Linked DNA regions of Saccharomyces cerevisiae S288C. Changing the gene in region 2 together with the main gene of any one other region gives a genetic interaction. Each region holds a gene or a part of one and is shown on either strand. Other genes may lie near its edges.

Evidence for each region.
Region 1: mutations in RAD18 (region 2) and LTE1 impair growth when combined (synthetic growth defect), as found in Saccharomyces cerevisiae (4 studies listed by BioGRID, with this or other methods).
Region 3: mutations in RAD18 (region 2) and TSA1 together harm fitness more than expected from each alone (negative genetic interaction), as found in Saccharomyces cerevisiae (5 studies listed by BioGRID, with this or other methods).
Region 4: mutations in RAD18 (region 2) and MGS1 are lethal when combined (synthetic lethality), as found in Saccharomyces cerevisiae (5 studies listed by BioGRID, with this or other methods).

What each region holds. Positions count from the first base shown.
Region 1 is NC_001133.9:101,065-109,405, forward strand, and holds LTE1 (mitotic regulator LTE1), read right to left. Parts: upstream 4,809-8,341; coding exon 501-4,808; downstream 1-500. Other genes in the region: ribosome biosynthesis protein MAK16, read right to left, coding at 1-81; dolichyl-phosphate-mannose-protein mannosyltransferase PMT2, read right to left, coding at 5,208-7,487; nucleoside transmembrane transporter FUN26, read right to left, coding at 7,813-8,341. UniProt on the Saccharomyces cerevisiae protein: GDP-GTP exchange factor for TEM1, a Ras-like protein, component of the mitotic exit network (MEN).
Region 2 is NC_001135.5:229,148-234,507, reverse strand, and holds RAD18 (E3 ubiquitin-protein ligase RAD18), read right to left. Parts: upstream 3,009-5,360; coding exon 1,545-3,008; downstream 1-1,544. Other genes in the region: GTPase-activating protein SED4, read left to right, coding at 1-1,383; HCM1 (Hcm1p), read right to left, coding at 3,504-5,198. UniProt on the Saccharomyces cerevisiae protein: E3 RING-finger protein, member of the UBC2/RAD6 epistasis group. Associates to the E2 ubiquitin conjugating enzyme UBC2/RAD6 to form the UBC2-RAD18 ubiquitin ligase complex involved in postreplicative repair (PRR) of damaged DNA.
Region 3 is NC_001145.3:218,568-223,122, reverse strand, and holds TSA1 (thioredoxin peroxidase TSA1), read right to left. Parts: upstream 2,986-4,555; coding exon 2,395-2,985; downstream 1-2,394. Other genes in the region: 40S ribosomal protein uS13 RPS18B, read left to right, coding at 1-136; YOX1 (Yox1p), read right to left, coding at 560-1,717; USA1 (Usa1p), read right to left, coding at 3,245-4,555. UniProt on the Saccharomyces cerevisiae protein: Thiol-specific peroxidase that catalyzes the reduction of hydrogen peroxide and organic hydroperoxides to water and alcohols, respectively.
Region 4 is NC_001146.8:236,298-242,172, forward strand, and holds MGS1 (ssDNA-dependent ATPase MGS1), read left to right. Parts: upstream 1-1,940; coding exon 1,941-3,704; downstream 3,705-5,875. Other genes in the region: ALG9 (dolichyl-P-Man:Man(6)GlcNAc(2)-PP-dolichol alpha-1,2-mannosyltransferase), read right to left, coding at 1-1,366; PPN2 (putative serine/threonine-protein phosphatase), read left to right, coding at 4,034-5,014; DNA-binding transcription factor RAP1, read left to right, coding at 5,392-5,875. UniProt on the Saccharomyces cerevisiae protein: Involved in the maintenance of proper DNA topology and chromosome integrity via annealing of single-stranded DNA breaks. Modulates DNA polymerase delta during replication or replication-associated repair.

The DNA.
Region 1 (8,341 bases), on a different chromosome or scaffold from region 2:
AAAATTTTGACCATTAGGTGCCTTAATTCTATGAGAGCAGAAACTTTGATTAATCACTTGCCAAACAATTTCGTCGGACATATCCTCGTTGTATTCTAACCGTTGTAGTTATGTACTGAAGAGAACACTGTCAAAAGAAAGAACTAAGCAATGCAATATCTGCCTCTATACCAATCACTTTTTCATTTTTTTTCAAAAGCTCATCGGAAAATTTTTCAAAAAAAAAAAAAAAAAAAAAAAAGGTTTATTACCCTACTGCATTTTGATAATCTGAACATAATGAGCTAATGAAAGCAATTCTCATTTAAAAACAAGTATTCTCTCTTATTGAAGTATGCATTATCTATCATTATAAATTCTTTTATTCTGTTCGAGTCCATGTTTTTAAAAAAAAAAAAACATGTATGTATGCTCCATCTATATATGCTCCATCTGTATATTTTATATGCAAAGTTTTTTACAAGAGGAATTTGGGAACTGGAGGAAAGTGGCACAATACCTCATGTGGATAGTTCATTAATCTCTTCTTGTGTTAATGTGCTAATATAAACACACTTACTCAGCAATTCGTGGTTAACTTTGAAAGTGTAAAACTTGGACCATTGAACCCTTTGAATGAAATTCTTGACTATTTGAACGTTCGTATCGAATTTATTGTAATTCACTACTTTATCTTCTAAGATCCAGTCTTTCTTCTCTGCGTTTGCTGATAGGTCCGAAAGATATACGACGATGAAAGGGACGCAACCCACCAGTGGATTCACAGAGTTAAGTAGATTTCTTATTGTAGAATAATTCCTGTCTAGCGAGGGAATCTTCTTTAGCTCTTCCCAAGTCAGTAAGTCGCCTGGTTCAATCAGACGCCATGCATCAGTGAATTTTTGAACAACTGAAGAACTTAAGGCTAGAATGATTTCCATCAATGTGTTAAAGTTCTGAAATGTCCTGCAGTGGTCTGCAACGTGTATAAACCTTTGAATGACATTTCTTTTCATTTTGCTGCTCTTGGTAAGAAGTATTTCTGATATAATCCAATCCACAGTTAAGTTAAATCTGGATATAGCTAAATCAATGCCAGATAAGGTCTCGTTCCTTACTAGTAGTTGCAACCAACTTATAACTTGTGGGCCTTCATGCTTCATCTTTAAATCTAATAAATCTTTCCAGTCTATTTCTCCTAAAATTTCCTTCTCTATCAAGGTCATTTGTTGCGCTACAGACAGGGAATCGTACATTAGTATAAATGGAACGTGACTTTCATTATTAGAAATCATTAATCTCGAATCGTGAATCCTGTATTGACCGATTAATTCCTGGATTTGCGCCGCTTGCACAGCAACATCAACATTAGCTGACACGTCTATTTTTTCAGGAGAGGAGGAAGTAAAGCCTTCCTTCTCGGATTGATCTGGAGTAAAGGGGATATTCATTATAGTTTGTCTCCTTCTTTCTATTAATAACGATTTTCTTTTTTCTGCGGGGCTATTTTGGAATGACGGCAAGTTGTTAAGGTTTAGCATTTCCACTTCATCTGCTAACTTGCTCGTTTTAATTCCAATAGCGTCACTACTCTTGGTGTTCTCTGGTTTTTCGGGAATTTTCTCGTATGTACCTTCCAGTTTCATTAATGCCACGGTTATTGGATCGTCATTAATTGAATCATCGAGCATATTAGCAATTTCATTTAAATTTTTCTTATTCAAGGAGCCTGTAAAAGCCGACTCAGAGTTTGCTCTCCGTGTGTTCCGGGCACTAGATGTGTCATTAATGTCGATATCGTCCATTGTCAATACACTTCCTGATATGTTACTATTAGTTTCACTCTCGTTCTTCAGAAATTTACTTTTCAGCTCTTCAACGTTTTTCATTGGAGAAGCAACGTCAATGCTACCGTCATCTGGTGAAAAAAAATACTTGTTGTTTTTCGCATGGGTACTTGGACTTTCTAGGTCATTATTGGAATCGCTTAAATCAATTGTTTTTAACTCATGCAATGAAGAAGTATTTGAGATTATATCTTGATTACCCCTTTGATATTCTTCTCTCAAATTTATTATCCTTTGGTGTGGCACTGGTAAATCTCTGGACGTTTCGAAAGTTTCAACTGTGCTACCAGTGGTAATCGAATTCAAATCACTTACAACAGATTCTATTGTGGGTGCTATGGATAATCTGATTCTATTGGTTTCACTCACGCTGGTCCCGTTGGGAAATTCTCTCTGTGGATTTTGAGTTTGTTTTAGAGGACTATTCTGAGCAGATTCAAAAAGCTTGCTCGTTGAGATACTGATAACGGTGGACGATGTATCAGAGTACAACGCGCTTTTTTTATTATATTCCAGGTTGAGAGGTTCTATTTCACTTATTTCCTCTATAACTGAGTTTGACTTGTTTTGCTCAGGATCTACTATGGATAACTCTTTGGTTGGTGTTATGGCAATGCTTTGAACTCTTGAAATGCTGATCCTTCCACTAGCCGGTCTTACAACTGCTTGTTTGATCTTGTGATTGCAAGATGAATGTTTTTTTCTTGTAGTTATATCATAATTATTGGCTTCTGATGATGCATCGAGTGAGTTGTCCAGCTTTTTTGTGCTCTCATATTCTGATTCCTGATTTTCTTTGTTATCATAATTCTTTTCAAGGCCATCTATAGTACTCTTTTTCTCATCTAAAGACTTGGTATCTTCAAATGTAAACTCTCTTAGATTTAAAAATCCAGTTTTTGTTTTTAGAGTTGGACTATCTGTATTATTCACGATGTTTCTGACTTTTCTTGACTTTTTCGTTACAGTATCTCTGGGTGGAGAGCTGGATGACAACTCGGAATCGTATGAGTATGTTATTGATTCTGTGTCTTCCCTACTATCGTTTAAGGGAGACGATTCTTTAAGATCAGGTAGAACATTTTTCAGAGGCGAAGAAGTCATGCTTTTTTGGGATTGGGAATGATTTTTCCTCCTTGGTGTCATATTTGTAATCGCTTCTGAGTTGGTTTTATCAGTTTCATGGAATAACAATCTTTGAGGTCCATTCTCGTCTGTACGTGAAGAACTATTATCTTTATCAAAGAGCCTCATACTTTCTGCTGAGTAGCTACCGTGCATTTTATTGTAATATGCTGTCGTGAGACTTTTTACTTTCCTTCGTTGCAGTGCATCATACGAGGGTGATGGCTGCATATTCGATTCATTGTTCTGCAGTTGCTTGTTTAAAGTATTAGTTAAAGAGATGACTGACTGAGCAATTGAACTTACGGTTTGATACAGATCCAAATTGTCCATAGCGCTAAAATTATCATTACTCGGTTTAAAGCTATTTTGTTGTAAAATCTTTATATCATGTATGTGTTCCCGACGTTCACAATCAACATTAACTGTAGGACCTCGGTTGTTATTCGAATGTGTTTGAACTTTTTCTATCAGCTGGTTTTGTAAATGCAGTAGGGACTCCACTTCATCTATGGTTCTTGCACTTAGGATGTCAAATTTAGAAGAATCAGAGTTAAGAAACTCTTCCTCTTCTTCCTTGGAAGATTTTCTATTGAGAGATGATATTGATACAACGTATTTGACAAACGCATCCATTTCAGGTTTCTGGTTTGCTGGTTTAATAGCACTCATAAATTTTTTATCATTACTGCTATCATGGCGATTATGGTTTTTCATCCACTTAGCTAAAAGACCAATAGCGCTGCGATGTAACACAGACATTGAAGATGTATTAGATCTACTATTACTGTTGCTATTGTTATCTAGAGATGATGTCGTCGATGTACCTTGAAGCGTTCCGCTTTGTTCATTTAAATCTTCAGGAATATATAAGGAATTCAGAATAAATTCAACTTTTTTAGCCGGTGTTGGAGGCATTATTTTATCGACTGCATATGATGACGGGTAGTCTACGCCTTTCATTAGTGTGGATACTAGAGTGACTTTTGACAAGTGGCTGATCTTTTGTTTACTATCTGACATGTCCTCGCTTTCATTATCAACTGAAGGTTCTTTCGCTATTCGGTGCTTCGAGTAAACATTTGATGTATTATCGGGAAATAAAAGCATAGAAGGGCTTCTCTGGTTTTTGGAAGAATTTGAAGACTGTAGCTTCTCCGGCAGTCTAAATACATCAGAAGTTTTATATAATGATAAAACGCTTTGGTTACGAAAATCAGGACTGGCAAAACTTTGCCTGGCGTAAATGCTCAGTCGGCTTCCTCTTTTGTGTAGGCTTTCTAGTTGCGTGAAATCCTTTAACGAATAATGCAGCCATGCATCAAAGTCTAATTTATCAGGTTCATTTAGTTCAATATTCTCCCAAACCAACTTAGAACAATGCACCCAGTTTTTTTTCAGATTGATTATACAGCTGGAAATTATTTTTGGGTACTGTTCAATGTGTTTGTCGTTTAGAAACTCGATCAACCGAAGTCTTAATGTTATGTTCGGTAAAAAATCTTGCACAAAATAATTCAGTATGGAATGCCTCAACAACACAAACGTCCTCACGAGGGCAACTTCACCAATTCGCCTTCTCTTAGCTTTTGCAGCATTTGTTGTGATCTCCCTAATACACCATCGAAATCTATAGATGAGTAAGTCGTGTAAGTCTTGAGGCGTTATAAAATTCCTATAAATAAGGAAAAAATCTGCAGATGCGTTGTAGTCTACACCTTCCAAAGGGGAAGAAAGGTGTACAATTAACGCGGGCAGGTCTGCACTATTCACTGGTTTGGATACACAATCGCTTTCATAGCTAATAACATTTGAGGATGGAGTCGGGTAGTAATCTTTCTGGCTAAATATTTCCATGGTTCAGGGTAGCGAATCTTTGAATGGCTAGAGGCTATGTAAAGCAAACAAAAAGGTTCGCGTAAATCAACGAGCGAATAACACGAGTACGGTTGGGGTGGGCTAAAGGGTTCAAGAAATTATCAGTTTCTGTTTACAGTTTTTTTTTCATTGTTGATAAAAAGATCAAGAATTTCATTATTCGCGAAAATCAAAATGCAGAAAGGAAAAAATAGAAGGGTAATAAAACAGCATCGGATCGCAAAGATGAGTAAGGAGAACAGCCTGGTTAACAATTAAAGAGTGTTTATCGAAATTCATTATATAGTGGTTTATATAGACCACTTCTTCTGCTGGTTGATATAGAAATTTTATTTAATTCTTGTTTTTTACTTATGTACTTACTACGATGATCTTAATTCATGCTTCTTGCTTGTCGGCAATGTCCCAAGTGGAAAACCAGTTTAAGTAGCGGAAGTTACTACTTGGTCCCTCCATACCAAATGATATTGGGGAGAAGTACCAGAAGCAACCAATTACAAGTGCCATGAATCCGGCGTATAGGACGAACCGCATGATACGGCCGCACTTAGATCTGGACCATTTTTGCAAACCGGCGTCGAAACAGTACGCCAAAATGATCAGTGCAAAATACAAGGCAGGCAAGTAATGATGAACGTAGGTGACTCTAGACATGATAACGAATGGCATGTAGTGTAGGCCCCAAGCTAGTAGTGGGTAGAACCCGCCCATTAAGAAAACGTTCCAGTTAGATGGATTTCTTAGGTCCACATATTGTCTTTGCCATCTGATCAGTAAGATAACGACCGTGGCCATGAATGCGAGGACGGCAACACTAGAAGCCCACGTGGAAGCTGGGGTACCCAATAGGAAGTATTTTGGATTATCATCACCCCAGCCACATAGTCTCAAACCCACATTCAAAGTTGGCCATTGCCATGCTGAGGAAGCTAAGTAATCAAATTTGTCTGGATCTGGCACCAAAGCGTTATTAGTGGCCATCATGGCTAGATTTAAATGAATGAAGTCTTTTAAGAAGTTGGTCTTTGGGTATTGAAAATCTTCGGGTCTTGGTGGCAACCTTTCATTTTCGTGGGTCTCGATGTTCCACCAGGTCCTCTTGTCCCTCTTGAATGGGTTTTTCATGCAGACAACCTCTTGTTGTCTGAAACCCCATTCGGGCAAACTGTTACCGGTTTGAGCCAAGTAACAGCCCATCTCCAAGTTCTTGATACGGAAAGAGGTGGTCAATGTGTGCAACTTCTCAGGGTCTTCATCTCCTCTTTGGTCCATGATCTCAATAACCCAATTGTCTTTGTTGTCACCAACAACATTGTCACCGTAACCAGAAACCTCCCATTGTGTCTTTGACACTGGTGCAGCAACTGGGTGGGTGTGCAAGTTTCTGCCCGTGCTTTTGTGTACCAATCTATAGGAGGTACCTGGCTTCAAATACTCGATGTCAGTTTCGTTTTCTGACCATGATGGTAAGCCTCTTTCTCTGTTGAAAAACCATTCGTTGTTAGCATCTTTGTAACCATAACAGGTTACTTGTTGTTGGTTGGACCCATCTGGATAAGTTTGTATATGTGAGTGCAATAGAGATCCTCCAAGAGCTTGGTTTTTGATGGAAACAACGGAGGAACCTAGAGCAATGTCACGGGGGCCTTGTCCGACGTCAGAACCCACTAATCTTGCTTGGAAAAGAGATGGCATGTTAGCATCACCTGTACCAGAATGCGATAATAGGTCAAAATGTATTTTGAAGCACAATAGGAAAATGCAGAAGGGGACGATAATAAGACCAAATATTCTTGCCAACCAGTGGTTAATATAGGTTTTCCATGACATGGATTTATCTGCCAAAAAGGTCCATAAGTCAATCACAGTATAGATACCGACCATAGTGATGATAAATAGACCCACCATTTTGACGGAAATAGTGCAACCCAAAGAAATACCAGTGATCAACAGCCATTTCCACCACTTTCTAGAGAACGGCTTGGACCTCTGGTTGTGGAACATAACAAAACTAAAGAACGATGCGACAGTGAAGAAAAGTAGCATGGAGTCCAAAAGAATGAACCTGCCCAAAGTACTATACGAGTTTTCAAACAAAACCAACACGGTCATCAGCCAAACTGTTGGTAAAGAAAATCCAATAGCTTTGGCAGTGAAGTAGGCCAATGGCACACAGAGCGCGGAAAATGACGCGTTGAACAGTCTCATTTTAACATAATCCAAATAGTCTGGGTAAATTTCCCCAGAAGGGAAGTCCCAAGAACCGTTGTAGCCTGCCAAATAACCAGACAACCCGACCAGCATTTTTCCTAGGGGAGGATGGACATCGTGGTAAAATTCGTGTCTCAAGTAATAAGAACCAAATTTACCAAAGTGCGCCTCATCCCAAACAACATGGTTGTTGATGCCGATTTTGTACATCCTGGTAAACAACGCCAATGCAGTAAAGATCACCGGCATTACAACGGATTCCAGGCGTAACAGTGAGCTTTGTGCAGCGGGCTTTTCCTTCGAGAAATCTTCCGCGTCTCTCTCATCAGCGCTCGAAAGTTCCTCACTGACGCTGATGGAAGACGATTCTCTTTGTCTCAGTGTATTCTCTTGCTTAATGTGGGCGGCATTGTTTTTGCTGTACCCGGTAGACGAAGACGAGGACATGATTGCTGGACCACGGTTCGAAACAGAATGACAGTAGCGATGTGGACTAAGCCGGTTCTCCTTGGTAATGTTGTTAGTCTCGAGAAATGACCTTTTTTTTACCCTCAAAAAGAATGCAACACTATTAATAAACAGTACACGAAACGGATCTTTCCGTAAGTTCTTTCGTTCTTTTTTTTCGTATTCTTTTCTTATGTTTTTTTTTTTCAGGGCGACGTGTCCAATAATATGTATGTTTGTCGCTATGTACGAGATATTATTGCTAAGTGACAGTAAATCGTATCACGACTGTAAATGATGGCGTTTCGGTATGTACAGTATCTATCTACCTGATAATAAAGTCAATTATGAAGACGAATACGTAGCTTATGATGCTGCCCAGAGCTAGTCCTGTAGAAACGAAAATATTAGTGAATCCACCGGCCGCTTCCTTCTCGTCGTCGTTGTCCAGTTGCTCTGGCACCTTCATGAAACTCATAGAGATGACGTGCCCGTTGGTTACGCCGAAAAGGAACTGCAGTAGCATGTAACACAAGTCAACGATTACGGAGCCATTGTGCTCTTCATCGCCGCTTGAAGAGGAGGTGATGGCTGTGAACATCAAGAACAGTGGTATTGCGGCCACCCGCAACAATGAGTAGATGAAGGTTTTGCGTGGCGTAAATTTCTGGTCACGGAACATGGGCCAGTCGGCAATGACTCTTCCGTAAAGGTCGCCTAGGTTCCACAGCGTGAATATGAGAGGTATGTACTGTGCGTTGCTTAAAGGAAGCCCTGTCACGTAGGTGGCAGACGCAAATACAGGAAAAACAAGAGTTACGACAAACGTGGTGAATATGGAAAGAACCAGGTAC
Region 2 (5,360 bases):
GCGGTTACCACCACACAAACAAACCCCACCAATGATGCAGCCAACACATCTTTTCTAGACAACTCAAAACCGGCATCCACGAGAGAGATTTATAAGACAAAAATAATCACTGAAGTCATTACAAAAATTGAGTATAGGAATATACCTGCATCAGATTCCAATGCAGAAGCCGAGCAGTATGTTACAACATCTTCTTCAATGTTGTTGACGCCCACAGACACTATGGTTTCTTCGCCCGTCTCCGAAATTGATCCCATAGCATCAGAATTAGAGCGTATGGTTGAAACACCTACGCATTCTATTTCTATAGCATCCGAATTTGACTCAGTTGCGTCTAATTTGATCCCAAATGAAGAAATTTTGTCAACATCAGCATCCCAGGACTCTATTTCCTCGCATCCGAGTACATTTTCTGATTCATCTATAACCTCTGGCTTCCAGTCAATAGAAGTATCGACTGTAACTTCTTCTGTTCTTGCTTCTGAATCAATCCCTTCAATCTCAGATTCCACTTTTTCTAAATTTCATTCCATCTCTGAACCTGTTTCATCAGCTATTGTGGAGACGGCAACTAGCTCATTCTCAAAAACAGAAACGAAGACTTCGAGAGTAATTGCTTTCTCTACCGAGGATTCAGAACGCTCCAGTGCCTTGATTGATAATTCGGAATACACCAGTGTGTTGGCTGACAATTTGGAACCCACTAGTGTTTTGGCTGACAATTCGGAACCCACTAGTGTTTTGGCTGACAGTTCGGAACCCACTAGTGTTTTCACTGATGCTGTACAATCACCTAAGACGAGTGTTGGTCAATCTTCCCTATCAGAATCCACAAATATTGAAGGGACTTCTATGGCATCTATGATCTTTAGTAGTAGTGGTGCTTCAATTGGCGCTCTGTCTGATATAGGCAAGGGAACTTTATCCGTGGAGAGCGCGTCAAGCACAGTAGCTCAGCCGATGCCAGGTGTAACCACAACAGCACCATCTTTTGTAAGTAGCCCTCACAAAATATCTGCTAGTTCAATTGATGCATCAGGATTTGTACAGAAAGAAATAATGATAGAAGTACAGTCATCAAAAGATTCATCTGAAGCGTTTGGGGTACGCCACAAAATCAGCGAAAATGTAAATACTCCTGTTTCCCGAATGCTTACGACGGAAATGCAGGCATCTGGTACGGTAGATGTTACCGAAGACGTCTCTCTATCTAGTGAAGTTATTTCAGCACTTAACGTGGAGATCACTTCTTTGCCTAATCCAGTGGCCCCTCCGCAAACAATTGCAGCACCTTTGAATAATAATTCGAATACAAACATTGTCAACGATGATAATGCAGTAGCAGGAACCGTAAACTACGCTGGCCTTCATGACGAATTGTGAATAACGAAATAATATATATTAATGTTAAATATGATTACATAGCTTTGTGCACATATCTCTATGTCATCTTTTATGCATTTATATTTTGCCCATTTTTAAATAAATTATTAATTAACAAATGTGCACAAGCTAACAAACAGGCCTGATTACATATACACACCTTAATTGTTACCGGGTGGGTCTTTACTATATTCATTCAAGTCCATTAATTCTCTTGATAAGTCAGCATCAGTTGAATCTTCGTTAGGCAAATTTCTTTCACCAGCAACTCTATCTTCGTTGATAACAGTGTCCTGATCCTTCTCCATTTGCTGATCCTCGGTTCCCTGGTCACTTTGAACTTTTTCAACACCATCTCCATCATTAGAATGTCCCACTGAACCTGAACTGTCCGATGAACCTGTTTTTATTTTCATTTTTGCTTCCCTGATAAGCCTAGCAAAATCCTTCCGAAACATAACCATCCATCCTTTCCTATTAAATTTATCGTTTTTGAAATTTTCAAGTAATTTCCTATATGAAGAAGATTTCCCATTACTCTTCATTATCATTAATTTAGAAATTCCACCCTTGTTGCTACTATTTTGGGGGGTTTTATTGTGTGAAACATCCCAGCTTAACAACTGTCTTTTTAGTTCAGCTTCATCAACAGGTTCTAGAGAATCACAAAAATTAGAATTCCAAAGCATTTCGTAGTGATTGTATCTTTTAATCATGTTTTGCCTAGTACCATTAGTTGACAGTCCCAACGATGACAGTTTTTGTTTTATTTGGGATTGAGTCATAGACGTAAAATTGATCTTCGGCAATCTTTGGTGTTCTGCACTCATCATTGAGTTTAAATACTTATCCACATGTGAGGTCTCACCACATGAGCTTTTGTCGACTTCTGGAGTTCGTACCTTGAATCTGGATGAACTTTTGTTATGTGGATTTGACTCTGTAGGGAAAGTGGTAGAAATTTTTGGTTTTTTGCCTAGTGATTGTAAAGTTAGGCATTCATCCAAATGTGTTTTTTCAAGGGCTTTAAGAGGATAAAATTGTTGACATATGGGGCACTGGGCCATTTGTTCATTTGGCTTTGATTTTTTCTTGATACGTTCACTTCTGAACATTGCAAAATTCCTTTTGGATGGTTTGGAACTCAGTGGTAATATATCAGTCATGGATCTTTTGGCAAGTTTTCTTTCACTTGTTGCAACAATTTGCAAGTCATCATCAGCGGCATTTACACTGTCACTTTCAGACTCTGATATGAGTTCTATCCATGAAGAATTTTCAGGACCTGGTACTTCCTCATTCTCAGGGACAGGGGTAGGCTTCGGTATCCTTAGTGCATCTAGTAAGGAAGATCGTAGGGATGTATAACTTTGAATTATTTCACTGACCAGGAACTCACTTCTCAGCAAGGACTCTCTGAACTCGAAAAGGCAGAGAGGACAATTTGGTTGGTTATTCAAATGTGTTCTAATACAAAGGGAACAAAATGTATGGCCACAAGGTGTTAAGACGGGGACTTTTAGAAAATCTTTACAAATGTGACATCTCAAAAGTGTATCCAATTGGTACAGGCTCGGTATTGAAGTAGTCGTGAAGTCGCTTGCAGTGGTTATTTGGTGGTCCATGAGTAGTAAAAATGGCCTTTTCTTAGTAGCTGTGATGCTCACTTGCGGATGGTTTTTCTTCTAATGTGGCATTGCTCAAGTGGTACTTAGTTTTTCACTTTCTATTGAAAAATGCAAGGCAACGGGGCAAGTAAAAATAAAAGAGATCAAAAAGGTAAGTGAAGTGAATGGAAACTTCAGCTAAATACTGTATTAAAAATCCGTAAGGATCAAAAATAAAGATATGTAAAATATAAAACTTAGAAAAAAAATTTGTATCATTTTTGTTATGATTACAATTTTTTCCTGCCTCTTCTGCAATTGATTATACCATAGAAGAGCGGGAAAAGAAGTTAGTTGACCCGACAATACAATAAGATTAAAAAGAAAATGCTATGTGATATGATAACTCCAGCCCAGTTTAGGACTCATCCAACCGTTTGCGATGAATCCATCAGATTAAGAATAATTAGTTTTCGGTGAGGAAAAGAAAATGAAAAAAAAAAAAAAAAAAAGTCAATTCTTTTCATTACCGCTATCGTTGGAAGGGTGATTATGATAAGGATGATGTTTTTGATTGCTATCCGTAGTATTGTTACCATCAGAAATCTTTTCAGTTGCGCGCTTCCAAACAGAATAAACATCCACGCCAAACAGCCCGCTTGAAGCAAATTTGGAATTCGTTGCGCTTGTGAGGACATCGGGTGCAGAGGACTTTCTTGGTGAAATTTGGGTTTCCAAAGTGCCCCCCGGCGTCGTGATATACCTGATTGGAGTCTCTATAGCTCTAAATAGCGGAGAACAGTACAAATCTTCAAAAAGGTGTGAAGGAGTCTGCCATTTCCTCAAAATCGAGTTACCGTCCTTAGGTGTGCTTATCAACCGCGATGGGGTTTTCTCTAAGCCATCGGAATGCCTCATCTTGGGTGTTTTAAGTAAGTCCGAACCATGAGAGGAAGGTGGAGGTGGAAGTTGAGAATTGGAATATGATTGCTGAGATTGTGGTTTCGACATGAGCGCAAGATTTTTCTGATCGTACAGCTTCAATGGGGAATACGGAAGTGGGTCGAGTAGAGAACCAGCCCCTACATTACTTCGAAGTGGAGATAAATCTTCAAAATTTGAATTGAATGAGGTGAAATATTTTCTGAAATTCTGAGGAGACTTTGCGCTAGTTATAGGGAGTGTATTAAATCTATTTGCCTGGGTGATATTATTGTTTTTCACACCCGCCTGGAAATGATCTTTGGCATTCACCAGCGACGGTAAGCCTAAAGAAGTATGATATTTCTTCATGACATAAGGAGGTTCCAAGGAATCTATATTGTTGACATCGTTTTCTATCATGTTCCGCATCGATTCTAGGTTTTCGTGAGGGTTCAGTACACTGTTGTCTGTTTTCAATTGCGGTATGTGATGTAACTGGGAAACTCTCAGTATAGGGGAGGAGTTCAATTGAATTTCAATGGAAGGGAATTTCCCTGCTTCCTCTCTTTCTTCCTCGTCAGGAAGATCATCATTGCCTTCTCCACTCTCAACTTGTTCTAATTCATCAAGTGTAGAATCTATTTCAAAATACTTCCCAATGTCTTGTAAGGAGTCCTTTACAAATTCATAACCACGATTTTCACCTTTGAAAAATTTTGTTTCGGCACCCGGTCTGACCTCCCAGAAATGACCCTTACCATCGCAGGACTTTTCAGTCTTGATGAACGCATCATTTAAAGACAAGTTATGTCTTATTGAATTTTGCCAACTAGCATCTTTCTGCTTGTAATAAGGGAAGTGAACGTGGATCCAATGATATATCTGGGATAGCGTTAGCTTTCCCTCCTGAGATTGCAAAATGGCCAAGCAAATCAAAGTTGCATACGAATATGGAGGTTTCTTGGCGAGTTCACCATTTATTCTTCTTCTTTCCAAAGATTGAAGAATTTCTTCCAAGGTTAGGTTACCATTGGACCGAGCGCATGTGTCCGATCTTTGGCGCTTGGCCTTAGATGGAGCAATTGGGGACGAGTGATCCGGTGAGAGGGGATGCGACGGCCTCTTATTTACTTCCTTCATTGTTTTTCTCACAGTTGAGCTCGGGGGAGTAATCATTTCCTTTTCGTCTTCTAGTGTTCTCTTGGCTTGGGTTAATAGCACGGTGCTTTTTTCCGTTAAAAAACTATTATGGCCATCAATGATGGATATGTCTTCATTCATCATTGAAAAGTTGGAATTTTTGTTGATTTTTTTTTTTTTTGCTTCGAAATAAGAGGTAGTTTCGGTCAATAAAAGAAGCTCAAATAGTAGATGTAACTATAATAAAAGGGGGGAAAAGAATAGAATACGATTTAAAGCGTTGGAACCTCTGTTAAGATATACTCT
Region 3 (4,555 bases), on a different chromosome or scaffold from region 2:
TAACAACGTCGAATCCAAGTTGAGAGATGACTTGGAAAGATTAAAGAAGATCAGAGCCCACCGTGGTATTAGACACTTCTGGGGTTTACGTGTTAGAGGTCAACACACCAAGACCACTGGTAGAAGAAGAGCTTAAATCAATTAAGGAAATTATCAGTAATAATTGTACGCTATTTTCGTTTTTATTATCTTTATTTTCTTTTTTTATTCTTCAAAGGAGAAAGTACTACACGTGTTTTCAGACCAATGTGTGTTTAATCAACTTTTTATTCTATGTATAACATATAAGCAAAAAAAGATATAATATAATTAAGTTTTATACGGTAAACATCGTTAACATCACTCAACCGGGGTGAGAAAGTACCATCGATGGAACTGCACTTTATTTTGACTACATGTAAAGTTAAAAGAGGTGTTATAGAAGTCTTTTAAAAAACGTAAGGTAATTAGAAAACAATTGTATATTTTATGATATATGCTAGGACTGAAGTGAACAATGATATGTATGAATGCCGTATAGGGAAATGAATTTGCGAATAAATAATGACTAGAGATTAGATCAACCACGGAAAGCGTTCGGATCAAGATCCTTCAACGGTTGTTGATCGACGATCTTGAATCCGAATTTTCTCTTCCTTTTAGGGGAGCCGGAGGGATTGCTTACCGGACGCTTGGCTTTGGATGGAGAATGATCTATGCTATTGATCAATTTATTTACTCTGCTGTTGGGAGACGTTTTCACGGGAGTCAACGTCTTCTTTTGTGGGTTTAGATGGAATGTTAAAGCCTGGCTTCTCTTTATGCTTGGTGTGGATGAGCGCCTATTTAGGGAATGATGAGGCCTTGGCGGCGTATTTTCCAGCGGTGAAGAAGAGGAAGAACGAGAACATGAGCTTCCATCACGAAGTATGTCCGCCTTGACTCTGGATGCTAGTGGCGTAGCATGAACGTCCAGAGGCGGAGATGGTGGAGATACCGTTTGTATTATAGTGGTTGACTTCGAAGTGGCGATTCTCTGCCTTTTAACCGCTTGTCTTTTATTCTGGAACCATATTTGAACGGCTTTTTCAGTCATATGGCAAGATTCAGCTAACTCAATTCGTTTCTCCTTCGATGGAGCAGGACATTTTTCAAATTCAGCCTGAAGAATAGATAGTTCCTGGGACGAGGTTCTTCTTCTCTTTCGGCGTGCTAGTGGAGCGTTGTCGATCTTAGGCTCCTTCTTAGGGAAGGTCTCCTGCGAGTGTGTGATGAAAGCAAATGCACGTCTTTTTTCCTTAGAGGCAGAGGGGATAATAATCGACTTCGCTGCAGAGAGTGGTGTTAATATGTCGTTTTTCTTTGAAGAAACCGAATAATCTCTCTTTTTGCTATTTAGGGGAGTCAGTAGAAGGTTTTCGTGTGATTCATCAACTGTTTCTTGAGAACTATTCAACTGAGATGAGAGGGCTGAGTCTGATTGCGTGTGCTTGAGCATGTCATCACCATAAGCGCTGCTATTTTCATGCAAGGATGTAACAGTGTGTCTCAAGGCGCTTTCCACAGATCTTGGACGATTGATACTGGTGTTTAGCGGTGGTAATTTTATGGTTCCGCGATCATCGAGGTGAAAACTCGTTCTTGGATTAGTGAAGCTTGGTGATACGGGGCTGGACGAGATTTCGGTTCCCGATAGAAGACTAGATAGAGAAGGTAGCATTTTTGTTTCTTGTGACATCAAGAATTGATCAAATCACAAAGATTGAAGGGGAAAGGTAGTGGTCTGGAACTGTTACCTCGTTGTTCTGTGGTCACCACTGTGTTTTCACCCAAATCATACTGAAATCACAACATAGAGTCTTGTTAAAATGCCAAGGCATATATATATATAATAATTACAAGAGTTCGTGTCCACTAAAAACCGTATAGAGCAATAAGTAGCCCGAAACAGCATACAGATTGTTCGCGTTTGAAGTTTCCACGTACTAGGTTGGACATACAGTTGCAGAAGCCTTTAAGCATCTGCAGTAATTGGCGACTATAGCGAGCTGTACCATTTTGACGCCCTTCCCAAAGAGGAAACCGGGCACCAGAAGGAATTCGCGGTGTTCCCCGTTTGGGGCATGGCGTGTCGCCTAGAAGGGAAATCATATGAAAGAAAAGAAGCGTCGCGTCTCAGCGTATGAAGGGCAGCAACAGAGCTAAAGTGAGTGTGGCAGTGAATGGTTTACGCGTTTTAGAGCCAGACGATGATTGTTATTAGAACTGAGCTAGTGTGAATAGCTTCTTAGACGGTAGTGTATCGTTTTGTCAGTGAATAGCATTAAGTTTATGGGTTTTATATATAGATAGATAGGTATAAACGTAAAGAGTGAATTTTAAATAAGTAGTCATTTAGACAACTCTGCAAGCGTCTTATTTGTTGGCAGCTTCGAAGTATTCCTTGGAGTCTTCAACGGTTGGCTTGATGGTAGCAGCACCTGGAGTCCAGTTACATGGCAAGACAGTACCGTTCTTGTCGGTCCATTGGAAGGCTTCAACCAATCTCAAGGCTTCGTCAACGTTTCTACCGACTGGCAAATCGTTAATGGTGATGTGTCTAATGACACCCTTTGGGTCGATGATGAACAAACCTCTCAAGGCGACACCTTCTTCTTCGATCAAGACACCATAGTCTCTGGACAAAGAGTGGTTGGTGTCAGCCAACAATGGAATGTTGATTGGGCCCAAACCACCTTCCTTTCTTGGGATATTGGTCCATGCCAAAAGGGAGTATTCGGAGTCAGTGGAGGCGAAAAGAACTTGAGCGCCTTGTTCTTCGAATTTCTTAGCAGCTTCTGAGAAAGCAATGATTTCGGTTGGACAGACGAAAGTGAAGGCCAATGGAATAAAGGCTAGGACAACGTACTTACCCTTGTATTTGTCCAAGGAGACTTCGTCAAAGACACCGTCGACGACGGCAGTTTTCTTAAAAGTTGGAGCTTGCTTTTGAACTTGAGCGACCATTGTGTATGTATGTGTATGTAGTTGTGGTTGGTTGTGAGCAATTGAACGAGGGGAAGGCCCGTTGAGAACGGTTCGGCATTGATCTGACGAATTACCTCCCTTTATATATGTCCTGGTTTGTTGCCAGCCGACTTTGCCAACCCGAGCCAAACCGAAAAATCCCTAAAGGACAATTTGTCAGAAAACCCGACGGGCCAGAACAGCATGGGTTTTCGTACACCTTAAACGCATTATATAACGTGGCCACATCGCATTGCAATTAGTCTTCATCAGGAATGTAGAGATGAGGTTGCGCACCTGTGGCGGTGGGTTCTTCCTCGTCAGGGATTATGAGGGCCTCATCTTCGTTTTCCTGCTGTTGGGCAGATGGAGCCGGTTGCTCACGGTCCCTTGCTCTCTGTGCAACAATATCATCCAGCTTCTCCTTCACATAGGGGAGTAGTGTAACCCAAAAGAGCACGAAGTTCTTTATCACAGCGGTTATCACCCTATCGTTTACCGGGTCTGGAATTATGTATCTGAGTACGACATCAAGGACGTTATGCTCCGCTATTTGCGAGCACAAGGTTTGGAACCATCTTCTGTACTTGGGTAGCGTATTGATGTCTTTCTTTTGGGACTCCTTCCAAATCATCAGCAGCAATTCGTTCAAAGAGTCTTGAGGATATAGTGTGTTCATGTTTCTTGTCGTTTCATACAATTCGAAAAACTCTTTGAACAACTCATCTAGCGCGTCCTTAGGAATCTCACCCGATAGCACCTTGATAAATAGCAAATTCAATTGTCCAACGTCAGGGGTGTTGGTGTCGTACTCAATATCATACTTAGAATAGACCGATAGCCTTTGCTCATGTAGATTAGGTATCATCAGTAAATCAATAGCGGATTGAGTGTCCTTACATTTCTTGTAGAAATTTAAGGTCAATGAATTGGAATTGATGAACTCCTTGATCTGGCTAAACTTGACTTCGTCAATTTCATTCAAGTGGAGATAGTCTCGCCATAAATTCCACACCTCTTGGGTATTCCAAACAGTCCTAAAAATGAAAAGCAAGCTTAGTAAAATGATATATTTCCAGGGAAGGAAGCTTCCAAACTCCAAAATAATAAAAAAGGGAACCAATGAATTATAGCCAATTAAGTAAAATGTTCTTATCAATACCAATAGCAGCGGGAAGCTGTTTCTCAAGGGACGCACTACCCTTCTATTCCACGCTGACTCGTCATTCTCAACTGTATTATTATCATTTGCCGAAGAGGTATTATCTGCAGCTCGAACATGCTCACCAGACGGATGCAAGAGTGTCGAATCCCGTGGTCTCTCGATTTTGAAGTTCAAAGCAGATTCTAACTGCTCTATCGCAGATGGTGATAGCAAAATATTATCGCCATTAATTCTGTAGTCATTACTAGATATGGGGATTTTAATTTCACCGTAATCGCCTTTGATCACGGACAAATAGCTCGATTGTGGATTTAGTTCGCTAACAGGAATGAATACTACTTCATCCCCGTTGATAATGCATTTCCTATAAAGCTCATCTGTGGGCACGATGTCATTTCCAGATTC
Region 4 (5,875 bases), on a different chromosome or scaffold from region 2:
TATTCTTGTTATTCATTCCCTTAGGTAAAGTTCTAATCTTTTTGAAAATAGAACCACTCTCTGGAAAATCACCTGGAAGAAGACCATCAAATCCAGATTTAACAAATTTTAGCCTATGATTATCTGGCAGCAGGAAAGAACTTGGGAAGTGATACCATTCACGTCCCGTACATACATTCACTACCGGTGCCTTCACACCACCTTGATTTAGTGAAGAAAATTGCTCGTAGACGGCTATAGGAGCTGTGTAATTGTTCACCAAAGCCACTATCCGTGACATTGCCTGGCCTGCAACAATTAATAAAACTGACAACTTTATACCTTTTTTAAGAATCGGCTTTCTATTGAATAGATTCAACACTTTGTAAAAGGCGATACTTGCACTCAAAGTTATTAACCCGTAAATTGGATAGAGAAATCTTTCCTCTTTGTGAGGTTGTTGAGTGAAAACGGCAATCCATGTGAATAATGATGCCCATAATGGCCATAATCTCAAATGGAAAATTCCCAAAATAGCTAAAACTAGCACAGGCAGTGGGAAATTCAGTAACAAATTTAGTGGATAGTAGTACCATGGCTCAACCCCGAAAATATTTGGGCCAGATTCCTCACTTGCATTAATGACATTGTAAAATAAGATGTTCCATGATACAGGAGCAAGCTTCCCGTAAAATATACTGTCAGTGACAATCACAGCAAATGCAGTCAATGAAAATATCAAACAGCAGTCGAATGCGGTTCTGATGGTAGAAATAATTCTATGGTTGAAAAGGTAATGTAAACATAATGGCAAGCTTAAAATTAAAACAAATGGCCAGCCTAGTATACTAGCCAGGAAATTGTACGCTAAACTTTTCGTAAAGTTAGAAGTAGACCCAGTGGACAGATAGCGTAGAGAGTGTCTGGTGGCACCTACATACAACAACATGGCAACGGCAGAAGGCAATAATTCCACAGATGCATGGAACCAGCCCGGATTAAACAATTGGAAAATAATCCAAATATTTGCGATTTGCAATGCCAAGCTGCCTGCAATTTCACGATGTAGTTTAAATTCCATGATAAAACTAAAAAAGCCTAAGCATGCTCTTGTGATGAAAAAGTTCCAATGACTTTCTAGGTCAGTAAATTTGTTTACTGGATAAAGAATACAGTAAAAAGGTAATAAGAAAGCCCATGATCTAATAGAATACTCGGGTGAATATTCCCAGGTTTGTTTACCAAATCCACGTACCAATAAATTTAATGGTTCCCAATAATTAAAAGTTTCATCGCAATCTGAAATTAACGAGAATGTCGGCTGAATATATACTCTTGTTAAAAATAACAACAGTAATAAACTAATGGTTACCGCCTTGCAATTCATCGTTCCCTTATAATTGTGCTTCAGGGTGAAAAAAGAGCCAATTCGATACAGCTAAAGTTTTGAAATCTCGTTGAGTAGCCGTAATGGTACAATAAAAACGAAAAAGTATTCTCTATTGTGTCAAAAACACCCCTGTATATCCAGTTGTCCCTTTTTCAAGCTTGTATTGACAGTTCTGAATATCGCAGAACGGTTCTCATCAAAATTCAATATTGCGTAACGGACTTATTGTTGCATTTTCAAGTAAATAAGCCGGGTCAGGATGCCCGCCGTAGATAGTAAAAAGTAGGTATAACATGCGCAAGAGCAAAACGGATTTGACAACATATCCAAGTGATAAGTGGTCGTTTAGATACATCATATACTATAACGGTTTGATATTGAGAGCCCAGTTAAAATTAACATCTGTTTTTTGTTTTTTAATTGACATTCAATCATCGGTTGCTTTCCTTGTGAAACTGTACGCGTTGTCTTAAACGAAACGTGTTTTAAGGTAGGTCATCGACAGGTAAAAAATAGCTTATTAGCAGAAGAACGCTAGCGGTAAGATCTGAAACAGGATCGCACAGTCTCAATGAGTAACAAGAGGACATCTGTAGAACAGCTCATATCATGCCCAATTTGCTCTAGAAAAGTCTTTTTTTCCTTAATCAACTCTCATCTTGACATATGTGGCAAGGAAAAGTCAAAGCCTTCGAGTAGGCCACAAACGGTGTCAAGTCTTTTGGCAGGCCCAAAAAAGAGGAAACAAGCTAACTCAGAGAAATTCATTGATCTTGAAAATAAGGACCATGAAATTAAGCCAGGTCTTAAGAGCGAGAGTGATGATATTGAGATTGTTGAAAATGAAAGCAAAAGATTTAAGGCAGCACCATCCACGGATTTTGCGAAATCAATAGTGGAGCCTGCTTCGAGCAGAGATCAACTTCACAACGATTACGAAAGCAGATGGTTGCAGAAAATAAGCCATTTGCCACTTAGTGAAAAATTGAGGCCAAAAGAATTAAGAGATTATGTAGGTCAGCAGCACATTCTCTCTCAAGATAATGGTACATTGTTCAAATACATAAAACAAGGGACTATACCATCTATGATACTCTGGGGCCCTCCAGGTGTAGGAAAGACTTCACTAGCTAGACTATTAACGAAAACTGCGACAACCAGTAGTAATGAATCAAATGTTGGTTCCAGGTACTTCATGATCGAAACAAGTGCGACAAAGGCAAATACGCAAGAATTGAGAGGTATATTTGAAAAATCAAAAAAGGAATATCAATTGACCAAAAGAAGAACTGTACTTTTTATTGATGAAATTCACAGATTCAATAAAGTTCAACAGGATTTGTTATTGCCACACGTAGAAAACGGTGACATTATTTTGATTGGTGCAACGACAGAAAATCCAAGTTTTCAGCTGAACAATGCTCTCATTAGCAGATGTCTGATTTTTGTCCTAGAAAAGCTGAATGTCAACGAACTGTGTATTGTTTTATCAAGAGGAATTGCATTATTGAATAAATGCAGGAAACAAGTATGGAATATTGAAAATCCTTTGAAATTGTCTAGAAGCATACTGGAGTACGTGGTAGATCTGTCGGTGGGTGATACAAGGAGGGCGTTAAATATGTTGGAAATGATCGAAGTTTCAACAAGAGAGCGCAAGGCCGACGAGGAAGAATTATCTATCGATGATGTACGAGACATAATTAAGAACAACAGCAGCAACGGGTTGAATACATACTATGACCCAAAGGGAGATAACCATTATGATACAATCTCTGCGTTTCATAAATCCATTAGAGGTGGGGACGAAAACGCCTCACTGTACTATTTAGCAAGAATGTTGCAGGGAGGAGAGGACCCATTGTATGTTGCCCGAAGAATGATTCGAATAGCTTCTGAAGATATCGGATTACGGGATAGTTCATTATTGCCCTTGGCTGTCGCGGCACATGACGCAGTAATGAAAGTTGGTTTGCCAGAGGCAGACCTTGCACTGGCGCAATGTTGTGTTGCTTTGGCTAGGGCACCAAAGTCAGTAGAACTATATAGAGCTTGGAAGAAATTAAGGGCAATGATGAGCGAGAACATGTACAGTTTAGCAAGCAGTGAGATACCGATGCATATCAGAAATGCGCCAACCAAATTGATGGAGGAGCTGGGTTATCATAAAGGCTACAAGTACAATCCCGATTATATTGAAGGAAAAGTCCAACAAGACTACTTTCCCAAAGAAGTGCTCGAGAAATGTCCAAATAAAACTGACTTAAAGTTCCTGGACGGCAAACATTTAGGAGACAAAGAAGATCCTGACTTGAGACAGTCATATCAGGGTTAGTCAAGGGTCTTCCATACTTCTCTCAATGCCGCGTCTACAATTCATATTTTTTTCTCTGTTGGCCAATGCCGCTTGTTTTTTTACGCTTGAGGCGCATTGCATTGCTGGCACGTTTTTGTGCAGCATGAACGATATAAACTATAATTTTAGATAATCAAGGATCCACCTTTTTTTTTCATGCTAGAAAAGTCTCGCGGGCCCATCTGAGATATATTAGAACATATACGCATCCTATAAGAAGAGCACATTATTCTTGAATTAGTTCTTCCTTTTCCTCGACCTTCCAGCTTGTAAAATGAGCCAGGCTTGAGGAGCATAGATACGCAAAAATGGAAGATAAGCGGAAAAGACGAGCCGCTACACTTAGTACAGCATTGATATTATTTGTGGCATGCTGCGTTTATACACTATATATATTCAAGTTTGATAACCCTCGGTTGTCTCCACCAGTTTCCTTATTGCCTACAATTAGCACCTTGAAGAAAATTGAGCATGTAACAGATTTAAATAAGGAGTACGTTTTTGTTGGTGACGTTCATGGTAACTATGATGAGTTCATAGAACTCATTGATGACAAGATTGGAGGACTAGGAGAAAATATAACAATGATATTGCTGGGTGACTTTATTCACAAGGGCCCGGACTCAGACAAGGTCGTGTCGTATATTCTAAATCACAAGGATCAAGTCAAGTGCGTTTTGGGCAATCATGAAATATTGGTCATGATGGCCTATTTAAACCCAGACTTCTCGAAATGGGTAAGACGCCCCAAATTAATGACACCTTTAACTTTCAGTACGGAGACTAATTTCATACCACAAGACATCTCTAAAATCAGCAACGCACATGGACGGTTAGCTCGCGAACTTGGGTTTTCCAAATTAAGTCAGCTAGCGGAACATTGTTCTATGGCCATAGAACTAGATCTGGATATTACCGGTGATATACTCTTTGGTGCACATGCAGGGATGGTTCCGGGAGACTTCATGAAGCCCAACCAAATTCCGGGCGTGAGCTCTCTGTCAAACATGAAGTACGTTGATAAGAAGAACTGGTCAAAAACATCACGTGAAAAGGAAAACAAGAATTATGTGAGATGGTACACACTGTGGGACAAATACGGAGACCACTTTAGTAACGCCAAAGTATTTTACGGGCACGATGCATCCATGGGACTAAACCTACGGAGACAGACCAAAGGTTTGGACACAGCATGTATAAAGAACAATCTGCTTTCATCTATGAAAGTGAAGTACGATATTAAGAAGGGGCAATATGACTATGAATTAATTCAAGTACAATGCTCTTAAAACAAAAAGTACTACTTAAAAGCGCAACAGATTTTATATAATGTACTATATGAAAAAGATATGAATATTATTATGTAACTCATAATACTGAATCTTAAATTTCAATGAAACTTTCGCTGGAGCTACAAGTATTCTTGCCCAATGGCCGCTACCCGCCTCTTCTTCGTTGTTGAAGTTTTAAAATTTAGCGAGAAAAGAAAACAAAACCGAAAACAGACAACCGCAATCATTTCTTCAACACCCAACATCCAGCACCTAAACACCATCAATACACGTTTTAAACAAAACAAACCCATAGCCCAAAAGGTAGTAAACACAAACCGTTGTATACGCAACCGCCCTACATAAGACACTATTTGCGTACAGATTATCTCAATATGTCTAGTCCAGATGATTTTGAAACTGCACCAGCAGAATATGTTGATGCATTGGATCCGAGTATGGTCGTTGTTGACAGTGGTTCTGCTGCAGTCACAGCGCCATCGGATTCAGCCGCTGAGGTAAAAGCTAATCAAAACGAAGAAAACACTGGTGCTACTGCTGCTGAAACTAGTGAGAAAGTGGATCAGACGGAGGTCGAAAAGAAAGATGATGATGATACCACTGAAGTCGGTGTAACAACTACCACGCCTTCCATTGCTGATACTGCTGCTACCGCTAACATTGCTTCGACATCAGGTGCATCTGTTACTGAACCTACTACTGATGACACCGCTGCTGATGAGAAAAAGGAACAAGTAAGTGGTCCTCCTCTGTCAAATATGAAATTCTATCTTAATCGCGACGCGGATGCGCATGACTCTTTAAATGATATTGATCAATTAGCGCGTCTGATTAGAGCAAACGGTGGTGAAGTGCTAG